Neodiprion lecontei: one gene and its partner. The protein of the gene in region 2 purifies or fractionates together with the protein of the main gene of each other region. This does not show direct contact. Links are inferred from orthologs where the notes say so. Each region holds a gene or a part of one and is shown on either strand. Other genes may lie near its edges.

Region 1 (4,692 bases), on a different chromosome or scaffold from region 2:
GGTCATCATCAATGTTTAGAATGGGTAATGTAGATATCTAATGTAAATCAGGAAATACATGTCTCAAAAATAATGATGATAATAATAATAATAAGATTTAGCAAATGCAATATAGTATTCTCACATTGCAAACCCCAAATTAATGCGACATACATTTTCACAATCACAGAAATGAATGAAATTACTGATTGTTCTAGTTTTGGAATTAAACTGTCATTTTTTTCTCGTTCAAAATGGTGGTTTGTGTATAATGACTTTATTATGTCTCGCAAAACACTGCAGTTTGATATTAAGTTCATATACTCACAACATTGTATAATTTCCTAAGTCCATCTTGGAGATCAAATTCTTCCAGAATAACTTTGAAAGGAAATGAAAATCCAAAGAACATTGTTGCATGACATCTACCAGAATCGTGACTTCTCTCCAGTAACCACAATGCATATTTCACTAAATCGGTTATTATATGTTTCGGTAAGAGACAAACTCTTTCCATAGCATCCTCACAGTATGCAAGATAATACAAACAAATAGAAACACCAGTTGCCGCGACACTGGGTCTTGGTACATCTAAGAGTTTTTGTAATCCACCCATACTTAGGAACTCGATAGAAAATTTTTTATGACACAGTAAAGATGCTAAGTATTTTAAAGCTTCAAAAGCTAAGCGACTATCCTTTGTTTCCCGTACATTTATGTAGTTTAATATCAATTCCAAAGCGTTTTGCTCGAATACGTGCCCAAGAAATTCTTGGTATTCTCCCATTGGTGTGAGGTACCTTAAAATCAGCATCTGACGAGTAGCCAAAGTGGGCGGATGTATTTGAACATTGCCAATAACGTAAGACTCCATTTCAGCCCAGGACGAATTCGAATTACCTTCTAGAAGCAAGGAAGGCGGGTTGATTACTTGAGTCTGAGGTTTAGACAAATTAGATCTACCAGATGCCAATATGTTGACAGGTCTTGGTGGTGTTACACGAGTGTTTTGATTCTTCGCTGGTGTAACTTGTAAAGTTGTATAGGTAGTTATACGAGGAATAGATAACGGTGGGGACATAATCTCGGGGTATGAATCTCTGGTGTTATCGTTAGATTTAACAGGTGTTAAAACAGCATTTTCCATGTTATTTTGAGACTTGAGTTTTTTGCTTGGTGGCATTTCGTCCGAACTTTGAATCGAGTCTTCTTCATCTGAGCAAAAAATTGAGTGCGTAGGGCTTTTCATTGTTCCATTTTCATGTTTCTTCTCTCTCACTTTCCGTTTTCCAGGAGTACCTTTGTGTTCAGTATCACCCAGGCTATTTCTATTCTGACCAAAATGTGCAAATGGTCTTGTGTTAACTGCTGCATGACGATTTTCCAAAGCTTTTTCTTGTAGCTTGTGTAATCTTTGCAGCATCAAAGGCACCATTTTACCATTCTGTTCTCTAAATCCTGTAGCAATGTCTTGAACTTCCATTGCAGCAGCTAACAAACCGGTGGCATAACTTTGTAAAGGCTCTATGCTTTTTTCAGCCCACGAAAAAAGCCTATGGATAAGCCCATCCATATCGGGTTGAAACACTGCTGATGTTTCTAGGCCTGGCAATATGTCCAACATCAAACGGCAGGCTGCAATATTCAACTTTCGCACATCACGACCGTTAATACCTGACCGTGTCCAGTACGTGTCTCTTAGATAATCATTTATCAGCTGTAACACAAATCATTGAATTGAATTTTTCCAAATAGTCAAATGACAGATCGAAAATATGTTTCGGATAAAGACTCAACAATTGTTCAAAGCTGATGTTTGAGACAGACAAGTTTGTTTTGTCCCTGATTTCATTACTCACATTGGATGTAAGAAATTATTAGATTTGATATGGTTTCAATGCTGTTATCATTTGTTTCAAAAAATTACACAATAAATATGGAACAAGGTACTACCTTTGTCATGAAGTTGTCCTTTCTAAACAAAACTTTCAAAATATGTCCAAAATTACATTCTGGATCAGTGCGTGAAGGGTGCCTTTCGTCAAATGGATCTGGATCCATTTTTAAGTAATTTTCTGTCTCTATTTCTATAATTTCAGCCAAACGTTGCAATGTTGGTATTGGATCATACGTCGGTGAAACATGGTCTTCTTCCCACTGACGCAGAATTTGAACAACATCTGTTACTTCCGCAAGTGATTCTACTGTCGCCATGACTTTTGTTCTATCAAAGTAAAGATACAAGGAAAAATTAAAGCAGAATTGTCTGAATCATGAAAAATTACCTTGTACTCATATGAGCCATTGAGACTTTCAAATGAATAAAATTCATTGGAATTACAAACCAGGAAATAATTGATATTTGTAAATAGTTATTCAAATGCAACCTTTTAACACAATTTTGCTGAGCCATGTTTATTTTTGATTTTGGAATAAGGTCTTTGAAGAATCTGCTAATAATGAATACGACTCGTTAATTTTAAGCAAAGGATAAGCCATGTACTTAATTTGCAAAAGTGTACAGTTTTGTAACGGAAGGTTCCACAACTCGAAAAAACGAACATAACACCGAAGACTCTAACCTTAAATAACAGAATTCCGAGATTAAAGTATGATCTATCAAAGCGTAATAAAATTATTAACTATACTAGACATATTACAGGTATCGCAAAATGTAACTCCTATTTATTAAAGGGAGTGATACAACAACTGCTTGACATATCTGTGCCTCTTAAATCTTGTACAGAAATGTTACCAGATGTATAGGTTAGGTTAGGTTAAAACAACAAGTTTTTCAAGTACCAACGACTATGACAGCTTTCAAAATTGTACCTTATTGATGTTAAATTACCAAGAAAGTTTAATCAACGTTTTTCGATAGCAAACAACCTATATCCCTTCTAATTGCCCAAAATATTTTGTTAAAACGCACATACAAGACTGTCGCCACCGACACAAGCTTCGACTGCCGAACGCGGTCTGCACATGGCCAAATTTATGATTCATGCACACGATTCGTTTGCGTGCGAAAGGTCAAATTCAGATCAATGTGTTTGTAGGTAATGTCGGGATGACCAGCTATCGTCACTTATGTTAGGTTTTTCAGGGAAAATGGTCACTGGGCGATATCAAACTCGAAAAACCAAAATATTTGTCATCAATTATTCAATTTTTGGAATTTTTTTTTGACATTTCGCGCCCCAAGACTTGACCTGGCAGAGCTCCTACGCCAATGAGAACAAAGAACGACATCCACGTGATCTATATCGACGAATCGTGAATGAACAAATTTAAAATTATGCTTCTGCGTCAAAGTGAAACATAACCGTAAAATATGCGACAAGAACATAACCTACACCGTGTATATTTCAAATTTACACTGTGTTCATACGGTTCATACGAAACAATAATTCAGAGCGATGAGCGGAGGTGTTGCTCCGAGTAAATCAACGGTTTACGTTTCTAACTTGCCCTTTTCTCTGACTAATAATGACATACACAAGCTTCTCGAAACGTACGGAAAGATCGTCAAGTGAGTGATCACTTCGAAAATTAATGATGCAACTTGTTAACTATTTAATAAACTTTTGGAATTTCAGTATTTCGTAATTACCATACACGCATTCACTTTTCTCTTTTATCTTTACCCAGAGAAACATATATAATATCTTATCTAATGTATTGAATCTATAATTGTAGCTAACTTAAACAGTTGATTAAAATGTGATTTTATGAATTGCAGAGTTACTGTGTTGAAAGACAAGATGACTAGACGCAGCAAGGGTGTTGCATTCGTCTTATTTCTCACACGTGAAGATGCCATTACTTGTGCAAAGACTCTAAATAATACTGAGGTAAAATATATATCAATATCATATGTTTGTCTTACTATCATAACTTATTTTAATAATGAATATACATCTCACACAAAATGAAGAAAATTTTCTATTCTCAGATTGGTGGCCGTACTGTGAAAAGCTCCATAGCCGTGGATAATGGACGCAGTACTGAATTCATTCGACGAAAGGATTATCCAGACAAATCTCAGTGTTACGAGTGTGGTGAAGAAGGGCATCTGTCGTACCAATGCTCTCAAAATACTTTGGGCCCCAGAGAACCTCCACCAAAAAAAATCAGAATTAGAAAAAAAAATAAAGATCAAGCAAAAGGCGATACCTCATATTATGATAGTGACAGTGACGAAGGCTTGAGAGAACCAGGTGGTGTTGGGGACTCTGAGACAATATATGACAATGCAGTGGCTGAATCAGATTTAGAAACTTTGAGTGCTGCTATACATCACGAGGTAGGAAATTGTGTCATTTGGAAAGTTTTTAATCTTAAATGCACTTTTTAGATTCTTATTTGATCATTTTATTTCAGCAAGAACAAGAGGAACTTGCAAAGTATAGGTTCCAAGTTGCAACTGGCCAGTACGAAGAGCCAAGACAGGAATCTTCGAAACCTAAAAAACGTTTTAAAAAAAATAATTACTTTAGTGATGAAGAGGAACTAAGTGATTGAGAATAATTGAGATTTGTTTCGAAATGGATATTCCTTACATATTTTATTTTGAAAACGAGTTATGTTACAAAATTGAACTCAAATTTTTGAAAGTACAAAACATTATTCTATATTATAATAAAATATACTATAACTTTGGTCTATGTACATTTCCAGATACGAGCACCGCTTGCCTCGTCTCATCTTGAA
Region 2 (7,981 bases):
GTTTATTTTGTACAATTATACTCCGACATTGATTTGGGGGGTCTGCGCAATCATTTATGTATAAAAATATAAAGTAGTAGTGAAAATTTTCATCTCCGTAATTAGAAATATTGAAGCTTTTTGTTTCTGAAGATTAGTATTTGTATTCATCGTACTCCTTTTAAGACGTAATTAACCACTACGTATGTACAGTTGCTTAAATTTAAACAAGTCAATTGAGATACCTTACAAGGATAACGTACAGATACTGATCTATTGTAATAGTCCTTCATTTTCTTCCAACTCTTAATTTATAATTATTATAGAACCCCCTTTTTCGAATCCTTGGAACAGAAATGTTGGCCTGCTTGAACTTGTTAAAATTTAAATAATAATCTGAGGTAGCACGCTTATTGTACTTTTGAAATAAATGACCTTACTAAGTGCCAGTATTCTGTGTCCTCAGAAAGCACAATCATATTAAGTTCCAGCTTTGAAAATGCATGATGTGTACGTATATATCTTATTAAGGTGGGATCACATATAATTAATTTCATCCGCACTTAAAAGTTCAATAGTTATTCGTTTTGTGCTTAGAAATATCATTCAATGATCACAAAAGTTTCTTCCACTTTCTTGGTTTTTCTTTTTATCAACTTCTACCTACTACTTTTCTCACTTTTCGACACATAAAAAAAAGCTTATAGAAAAATACTATAGACCTATCCATAAAAAATAATACATAATTAAAATTAACAACAGGCTGTCTGGATACCTAGCTAGCAGTAATTATAAAAAGTGTCTTCAAAAAAGTTGAGAGACATTAAAATTTCTTGCATTGAATGTGGCGTCGCTTACTCGTCCGTTGGATGATAATATGGTTAATCATTAGCTTAATTATTTTAATCAGTACTAGATTGAGTTATGAAACTATCGTGATTGCGGAGTAACCAGCATAAAACCAACTTTTTCATGGGCGTAAGCTAAGTTCTTTGCTAGTCCAGAAGTGCAACCATGTTGTTGAATCGTTTGGAATCTGAAAGTTCGGAAGTTTTTCTCACTATCAATGTATGTGACGGCAGCCATCAAAGGACACATTATGATCTTGGTGTGGTCTAAGAAGTTTATCTGAAAAAAAAGTAGTTGACATATATATTTATGCAACACTGGCCAGTCACAATGTTCATACGAACTTCACAATTTTTTCACATTGTACAAACAGATGGATGTCAGAGATGAAAAAGAAAAACTGTGCGAGTTATAATTACTTGTACAGATCCATTAGTCAGCTGCATAACTACAGCACTTTGCGTTCTAAACCACTGATGCATGTAGGGAATCCTGGACATTGAATCACTTTGCTTAACAGCCACCGATCCCCCAGCTTTCATTAGATGTTCATTCATGTAACGTTGAAAATAGTTCAACAGCTTCATCTTCTTGTCCAGGTGACCCGGATAGTCCTTAACTGTATGGTATTCTTCTGATCCTTCACGATTTATGTAATGAACATTGAAACCGTTCGCAAGCATTATCAGACGTGTTCCGTCGTTGTACATCACACCAACTCCTTCGTCAGATAATTGGTATCCAAAACCATATTTGTCTGAGTAGTCCACCCATTTACTGATCCAAACAAATGGTTGTGCATCTGGATCTGTCATCTCATCTAAAGTAGTTGAAGAAAGAAAGGAACAAAGAAAAAAACACCACGTCATTGGAGTTCACGTTGAAAAATCTAGTATCGTACACATCAATATACAATGTGTGCTTAACAATGGAAGACAGAGATGAGTTGTTGAACCATCGATGACGACGAAAAAAAAATTTCACGTTGAAAAGTTACTCATTCAACTTCAGAAAACACCAAAATAAGGCGAAATGCACTCTAAATACGTCAAATTTAGTAGGTGTGAACCTTAAGAGAGAGACTGCTTATAGTACAACAGCAATAAGTTCAAGAGCAATGGAATTTTGTTCACCTTAAATAGGTATTGACAGAAAGAATACACAATTGTATCAAATAATTTCTCTGTTAACAGCAATTCATTCACAGGGAAACAGTGCACATCAATATTGTTACTGTCATGCATTTAACTGACCAACATTTTTATCACTGGTTGATAATAGAACAGGTAATAAATAAGAGTCAAAGTATTTATACAGACTCAAATAAAGCAATTCCAGATAACAAGTATGGTGATGTTTTGTGAAAATAATTTACATGTACATCTACTTTGTTTTCAATCAAAAAGTCAGATACACTCAACAATCTGCTGTAATAGAGATACTTCTGCATGAATTTCAGATATATGTTGATTAAAAATGAATAAAGGTAATTCAAACGAGCAAAGTTTCTAGTCATGCTACGAAAATTTGATGATTGACCAGGACAATTTTCACTGATTATTTTTACTTAGAATGTTGGTGACCTGTTTCAAAGTAAAACAATTCAGTTGTAATGATTGTAGTCTTAAATATTGGAAATAAGTAGATATAATAGGGTGGCGACAATTTTGCTCAAATAAAACTCTCTGACTTTTCCCATCAGAAAATTCAGAATTCTTTGAAGTTTTCCCACAAAACTTAAGTAATATTGGGCAGCTTTTATGACCAAAATCTCGCGAAATTGCGCACCTTGAATATATAAATTTGGATCTAAAAAACAAATAGTATTGCTTTGTTTCACACAAAATAATTAGAGATTAAACAATACCATTTCTGAAAGTTAGATTAACTGAATTTACGAAGCATAGCTGAAGACTGAAAACGAATTATAAAAAAAAAGTATGTTTTTTCCCTACAATCCATCATAATTCCCTGACTTTTCCCGATAGACGACTTTTCCGGATAGACGAAATTTCCTGACTATTCCTGGATTTCTTAGTCTGTCGCCACCCTGTTATAGGTCCTCAATTTGCAGCAATAGAAGCATTGATTACTGAACAAAAACACATTGTATATTAATATTATACACGGATTGGAAGAACCATGCCTGATGTTTCCAGGGTAATCTGATAGGATCTTGGCCGTTCTGTATTGGAAATATACAGTATCAATTAGTGAAATTAAAACTGGTTGTTAGTAGTGTAATATTTGTGGCTGGAATAGTATGTGAATTTACTACTTTTCGTGTGGCGTCATATATGTCTATGTACCTCCAAAAGCGATGAGGTCCACGGCAGGCTTAGTTTTGAGTACAGTTGCTAATTGTTCTTTTAGTGTGAGTAACATCTTCTTTATATCGAGACCCAATTTTTTTTCTTCACTCATTTCGATACCTTTACCCTTGAGAGCAGGACTTTGCGGAACTCTGAATAGGACATCATTTATATCTCCACATCCATTTCCATTCATTTCAGTTAACGGCTTACGCTGATTGTGCATTTCCAATGCATCCATACGAGGTGCCATTGTGAGGCAAGATATTGGAAGACTTGTTGGCAAGAATCCTATGAATTTGGTAAATAATAACGAATTTAATTTCTTGACTTTCAGACAACTCATTTGTACACTTAAATCGTACGGTACCATTCACTTTTAAGAAATTGGTTATTTCTGTACGAAGCAGCTGTTTATGCTTCTAATTTATGAATTTTAACCTGAGAAAGTAAATATTTAATACCAGATGTGAAGAATACATCTTTGATCAGTTTGTTAACACTGGGCCGTTTAGTGGGATTCCCTTGAAGCATGTTGGCAATCATATTCATTGCAGCTTTGCTCAGAAAAGCTGGAGTTTTGTATTGCACTTGTTTTATCCTAGCATATGTTTCCCTGAGGCTTGATGTTTCGAAAGGTGGTTTTCCCACAAGAAGAGTGTACATTATACATCCGATACTCCAGATGTCAACTTCATAGGAATGCCCAGATTTCATCAGAATTTCTGGAGCTATGTAATTTGGAGTTCCGCACAAAGTTCTATTTTCCGAAATTAAATCAAAGTAGTTTATTAACATTCGAAGACCAGCTACTTGGAATAAGTTTTAGATCAATTATGTCTCTAAATAAAGCTTGAAGTGGATAACATTAACATAACAAAGGTTTTTCTTAAGTACCTATTTTGGAACTTTAGGAATGAAAGAAATGAATTTTTCAATTATCACCATGTTAACATTACAAACTTGATCCCCATAAACGTATAATAATAATTGAATAAGGAGATTACTTTTTCCTTTCTCCATCATGTTCTAGTTTTGTAGCTAATCCGAAGTCACCTATTTTTACTTGTAATTCGTCGTCTAGGAAAAGGTTCCCTAGTTTCAGATCTCGATGTATTATTTTATTCTTGTGCAGATAGGCGACACCATCCAAGATCTGTTTCATGTAATAGCGTGTTTCACACTCTGTCAGAGCTTTCCTTCTTTTGTGCAACTCCATCATTGACTGAAAGAATAAATATAACGAATCAGATATATATCGCCATGGTATTCCAATTTGTATACTGGAGGAAAGTGTGTCTGATATTGTGCAAACAAGAAAATGGTGATTAGAAATCTTACATGAATGAAACGTATATTCCTTACATTTGAAAAAGTAATATGGCTTTCTCTGAAAAGATGCATAAAATATAAAAGGTTGATGTGAAATCTTTACCCTTTTACGACAAAGTTCCAATATGATATAAATATTTTGGATATCTTCAAAGAATCCATGAAACCCGACGATATGTCTGTGTGTGAGACTTTGATGAATATGTATTTCCTGCGTCATTTTGTCACGCTGATTGACTTTTGTCAGTATTGATTTGGGTACAATTTTTCCAGCAAATACATGATGAGACTTCGATTCCTTGATCTCGTAACATTTTGCAAATCCACCCTAGAAAAAATATAACATAGTACAGATTCGCCACAACATATTTTTTGTGATCATTCCTCATTATAAAATATAAAATTTTCATTCATAAGATTCATCTTAAACAATATTTTATCAATCAAATGATTCCTTAAAATATTAGCTGATACAAAGTTGTTTCACTAAATTCTGTTTTGCTTAAATGAAATTATTAGGAAGCCTAGAACTGAAGGTATATCAGAATTCACGAGGTAACTAATACGCTCTACTTTATTGTTAAAAGATATCTTTTGGGCAAATAATAATTCTATCTGACATTTGCGGGCATGTTATGTGAAATTAGCAAATAAATTTCGAATGGTAAGTTACTGCTAATGTAATGCTTGATGGGGTTTTGAATAAAGCAATGTTTTTTTGAAAAACATTACAAGGCTAAGAGCAACAAGTGTTTGGATATATCTAGGTGAAAGGCTGAAAGCTGTATGACAAATGACGTTTTGGACTTAATCCACCAGTAATAACATCAATTTCTCAGAGCATATATTTCCGGGCACAACAGAAATTCAACAATGGGCTTGATGGTGGCAGTGTTCAAAAATTTGACCTTGCAGAAGCCCGAATCAGGACTATTGACACTGCATGCAAAACGTAGTGTAATTAGTTGTAAGGAATAAAGAAAACATGAACGAAAGATTTAGATTGATGTGTAATACAGAGAAGAATGATTAATCGGAAAAGAAGAGAGTAATAACGATAAATCAGTTGTCCCGCAATACTGTTCGAAGGAATTAATGTGTTTGTGTCAGAATCTGATTGTTTGATCAATTCGCCTTCAATCTACTGATTCCCAGAAAGTTGAAATGGCTTTAGGATTGACTCATCTTTGGCTTCGCCCTCAAAGCCGGCGATCGAGGATTTTGCTATTTTTCGGCATGGGAAGGATGCAAGAGAGACAACACGTTGATTAATATTCGAGGAGACTCACCTTTCCGAAGAAACGACCCTTAATATAGCTCTTTCCCGTATTTCCATCGTGGATTATATCGGGAATAACGTTGTCTTTGTCATGTTTAGACATCTTTGTTGTTCCGGGTAATTCGAGCCACAGTCCAGTATAGGTATAAAACTTAGAAATCGGTTAAAATCACAGTTATAAGACACGTAGTAACACCGAAGGCCGCTTCTCTTGGTTACTCGCCCTCAACTGGCTGCTGTTTCGTGTTGAACGGGCAACGGATTCTAATGTTTGAATCCAGATGTTCCAGCCAATAGCGTACGTCCCACTTGTCACGTGACATCCGAATTTTCTGTTGTTGGTACGCTTCGCCATCGAGGCTTTACCCATGGGCAGCCTGTACAGTATTTTTCGATGAGCATTAATTAAACTTGATCAGTAAGAGCACTGAACAGTGCTCTTAGTGTATATCGGAACATATCCCAAGATCTTGGTCAAATTTTGTAGAGTTTCTTGCACTCTTTTGAAATATGCAGAGAAAGTTCAAGATTTTCGAAAACTGACGAAACGACGTTCGTTTTTCGAAAATTAGGGAAACCCAATTTTCGTGATTTTTATTGAAAATTTTACACGGTATGTGAGGTGATATAATTGATATATCCTATAAGTTTCATTGATGTTAAGACCGCTTCATATCGAGAAAAAATATTTCGTGCTTCACAGAAATTTGCCAATCTTTGTGCTGGTGTCGACTTTATGGGCATTATTGTGGGATGTATTCAGATTTTCTAATCCAAATAATATTACTCAAATTTGATACACTCATACCTGGAGGAATAAATGACCAGACATCGTATGATGTATGACATAGAAGACCACATATCAATTTGCTGGTAAAGACTAACAAAAAAAAAAAAACACAAAATACCGGTCAAAACATTCAAATCAGGGATTTATTGTAGTAAAAACAATATCGTGTAAATCCTAATTTCTAATCAAACAGCAGTTCGATCGTTTTTACAACTATAGTCTTGGATGCTTGGCCGTTCTGAATACTCAATACTATAGTTGTCCGAATATTCACTTACTTTCACGTTCCACACGTAACATTTTTGTATGCTTCATATCGGAAAAAAATAAATATCGTAAAAAATCCCTTTTGTATTTCTTTACTATTATTTCCTTTAAAGGACTAAAAGACGATACAGGTTGAATCTGATTGGCCAATAAATTCGGACCTAAGCACACTACTGGCAAAAATGTGCCACGCAACACGAAACTAACGGAACCGACCGTTTTAGTTAGATATTAAAAATGTATAATTACCCGCATCATCACGCGTTCTTAGCGGTTGTCATATATGCACCTAAATCGCAAAACGCTAGATATTTACCCAATCGTGTATTATATCGTCGAATTGACGGGACCAATAAAATGTTGAGTACAGTACCTTAAGCGGGTACCCTGGTCGATTTCGACATTGGCGAATGTATCTCCAAATATCAAAGTCCGCATATCTCAAACGTGAAGAAGGTAAAATGCTGAACAAAAACGATACAATACATTTTCAATTAATGCAGAAATAAAGAAATGGCATGAATTCTACGAATTTACTATTGCGATTTCTTAGAATCCATACCATTTCTTTATTTCTGCGTCAAATGAAATTATATCGGAGTGTGTTTGTTCAGAATTGCGTATAAAATGGGGCTGTTGGGCCCTTCTTTCGCGCTTGAGATACGTGATTTCGGTATTTGGAAATTTATACAAGAACGTCGTAATCAAGTAAACCACCCCCTTAAAGTTTTTTAAACACTGAATTGAAAATCAGAATTTCACCTAGTACAAGTATATTAATAATTTCGTAAAGGTTTCACACGATATCAAACTTCGGAAAATATTTACTGTATTTATTCGCGAGATGATGGGGACTGATTGTTTGAAGATCAAATCGAAACCCTAAATATCAATGATTCTTCATGAGACCACTATAAGTTCTTGTCACCTTATATTCATTTAATCAACCATTATTGCCTCTCAAGGGTGGAAATTCATATTATGGCAGTTCTATTTTCAGACAAAAAATGTTATCATACCGCAGATGAAAAATAATGTGAAGAGTTTTTTATTGGAATAATATATTGCATCCATTTTTTAACAAACAATACATTCAATTTTTCTGTAGCAATATTTTGCTTCAATTATATTTGCATAAATTAAAACAATCATAAAATGATGCAAAAATACGAT

What was found. Proteins that work in one complex are often made in the same cells at the same time.
Region 1: the proteins of serine/threonine-protein kinase polo (region 2) and protein mahjong purify together in Homo sapiens (affinity purification with mass spectrometry; 3 studies listed by BioGRID and IntAct, with this or other methods). This does not show direct contact. The link is inferred for Neodiprion lecontei from reciprocal best matches to the Homo sapiens genes PLK1 and DCAF1.

The regions. Positions count from the first base shown.
Region 1 is NC_060260.1:28,673,213-28,677,904, reverse strand, and holds the start of protein mahjong, read right to left. Parts: upstream 3,001-4,692; 5' UTR 2,986-3,000; coding exon 2,912-2,985; exon of another isoform or gene 2,782-2,911; intron 2,536-2,781; exon of another isoform or gene 2,393-2,535; coding exon of another isoform or gene 2,367-2,392; intron 2,204-2,366; coding exon 1,933-2,203; intron 1,697-1,932; coding exon 308-1,696; intron 38-307; coding exon 1-37. UniProt on the Homo sapiens protein: Acts both as a substrate recognition component of E3 ubiquitin-protein ligase complexes and as an atypical serine/threonine-protein kinase, playing key roles in various processes such as cell cycle, telomerase regulation and histone modification.
Region 2 is NC_060263.1:23,619,943-23,627,923, reverse strand, and holds serine/threonine-protein kinase polo, read right to left. Parts: upstream 6,006-7,981; 5' UTR 5,855-6,005; coding exon 5,762-5,854; intron 4,801-5,761; coding exon 4,576-4,800; intron 4,366-4,575; coding exon 4,148-4,365; intron 3,901-4,147; coding exon 3,605-3,900; intron 3,432-3,604; coding exon 3,138-3,431; intron 1,649-3,137; coding exon 1,248-1,648; intron 1,108-1,247; coding exon 910-1,107; 3' UTR 330-909; downstream 1-329. UniProt on the Homo sapiens protein: Serine/threonine-protein kinase that performs several important functions throughout M phase of the cell cycle, including the regulation of centrosome maturation and spindle assembly, the removal of cohesins from chromosome arms, the inactivation of anaphase-promoting complex/cyclosome (APC/C) inhibitors, and the regulation of mitotic exit and cytokinesis.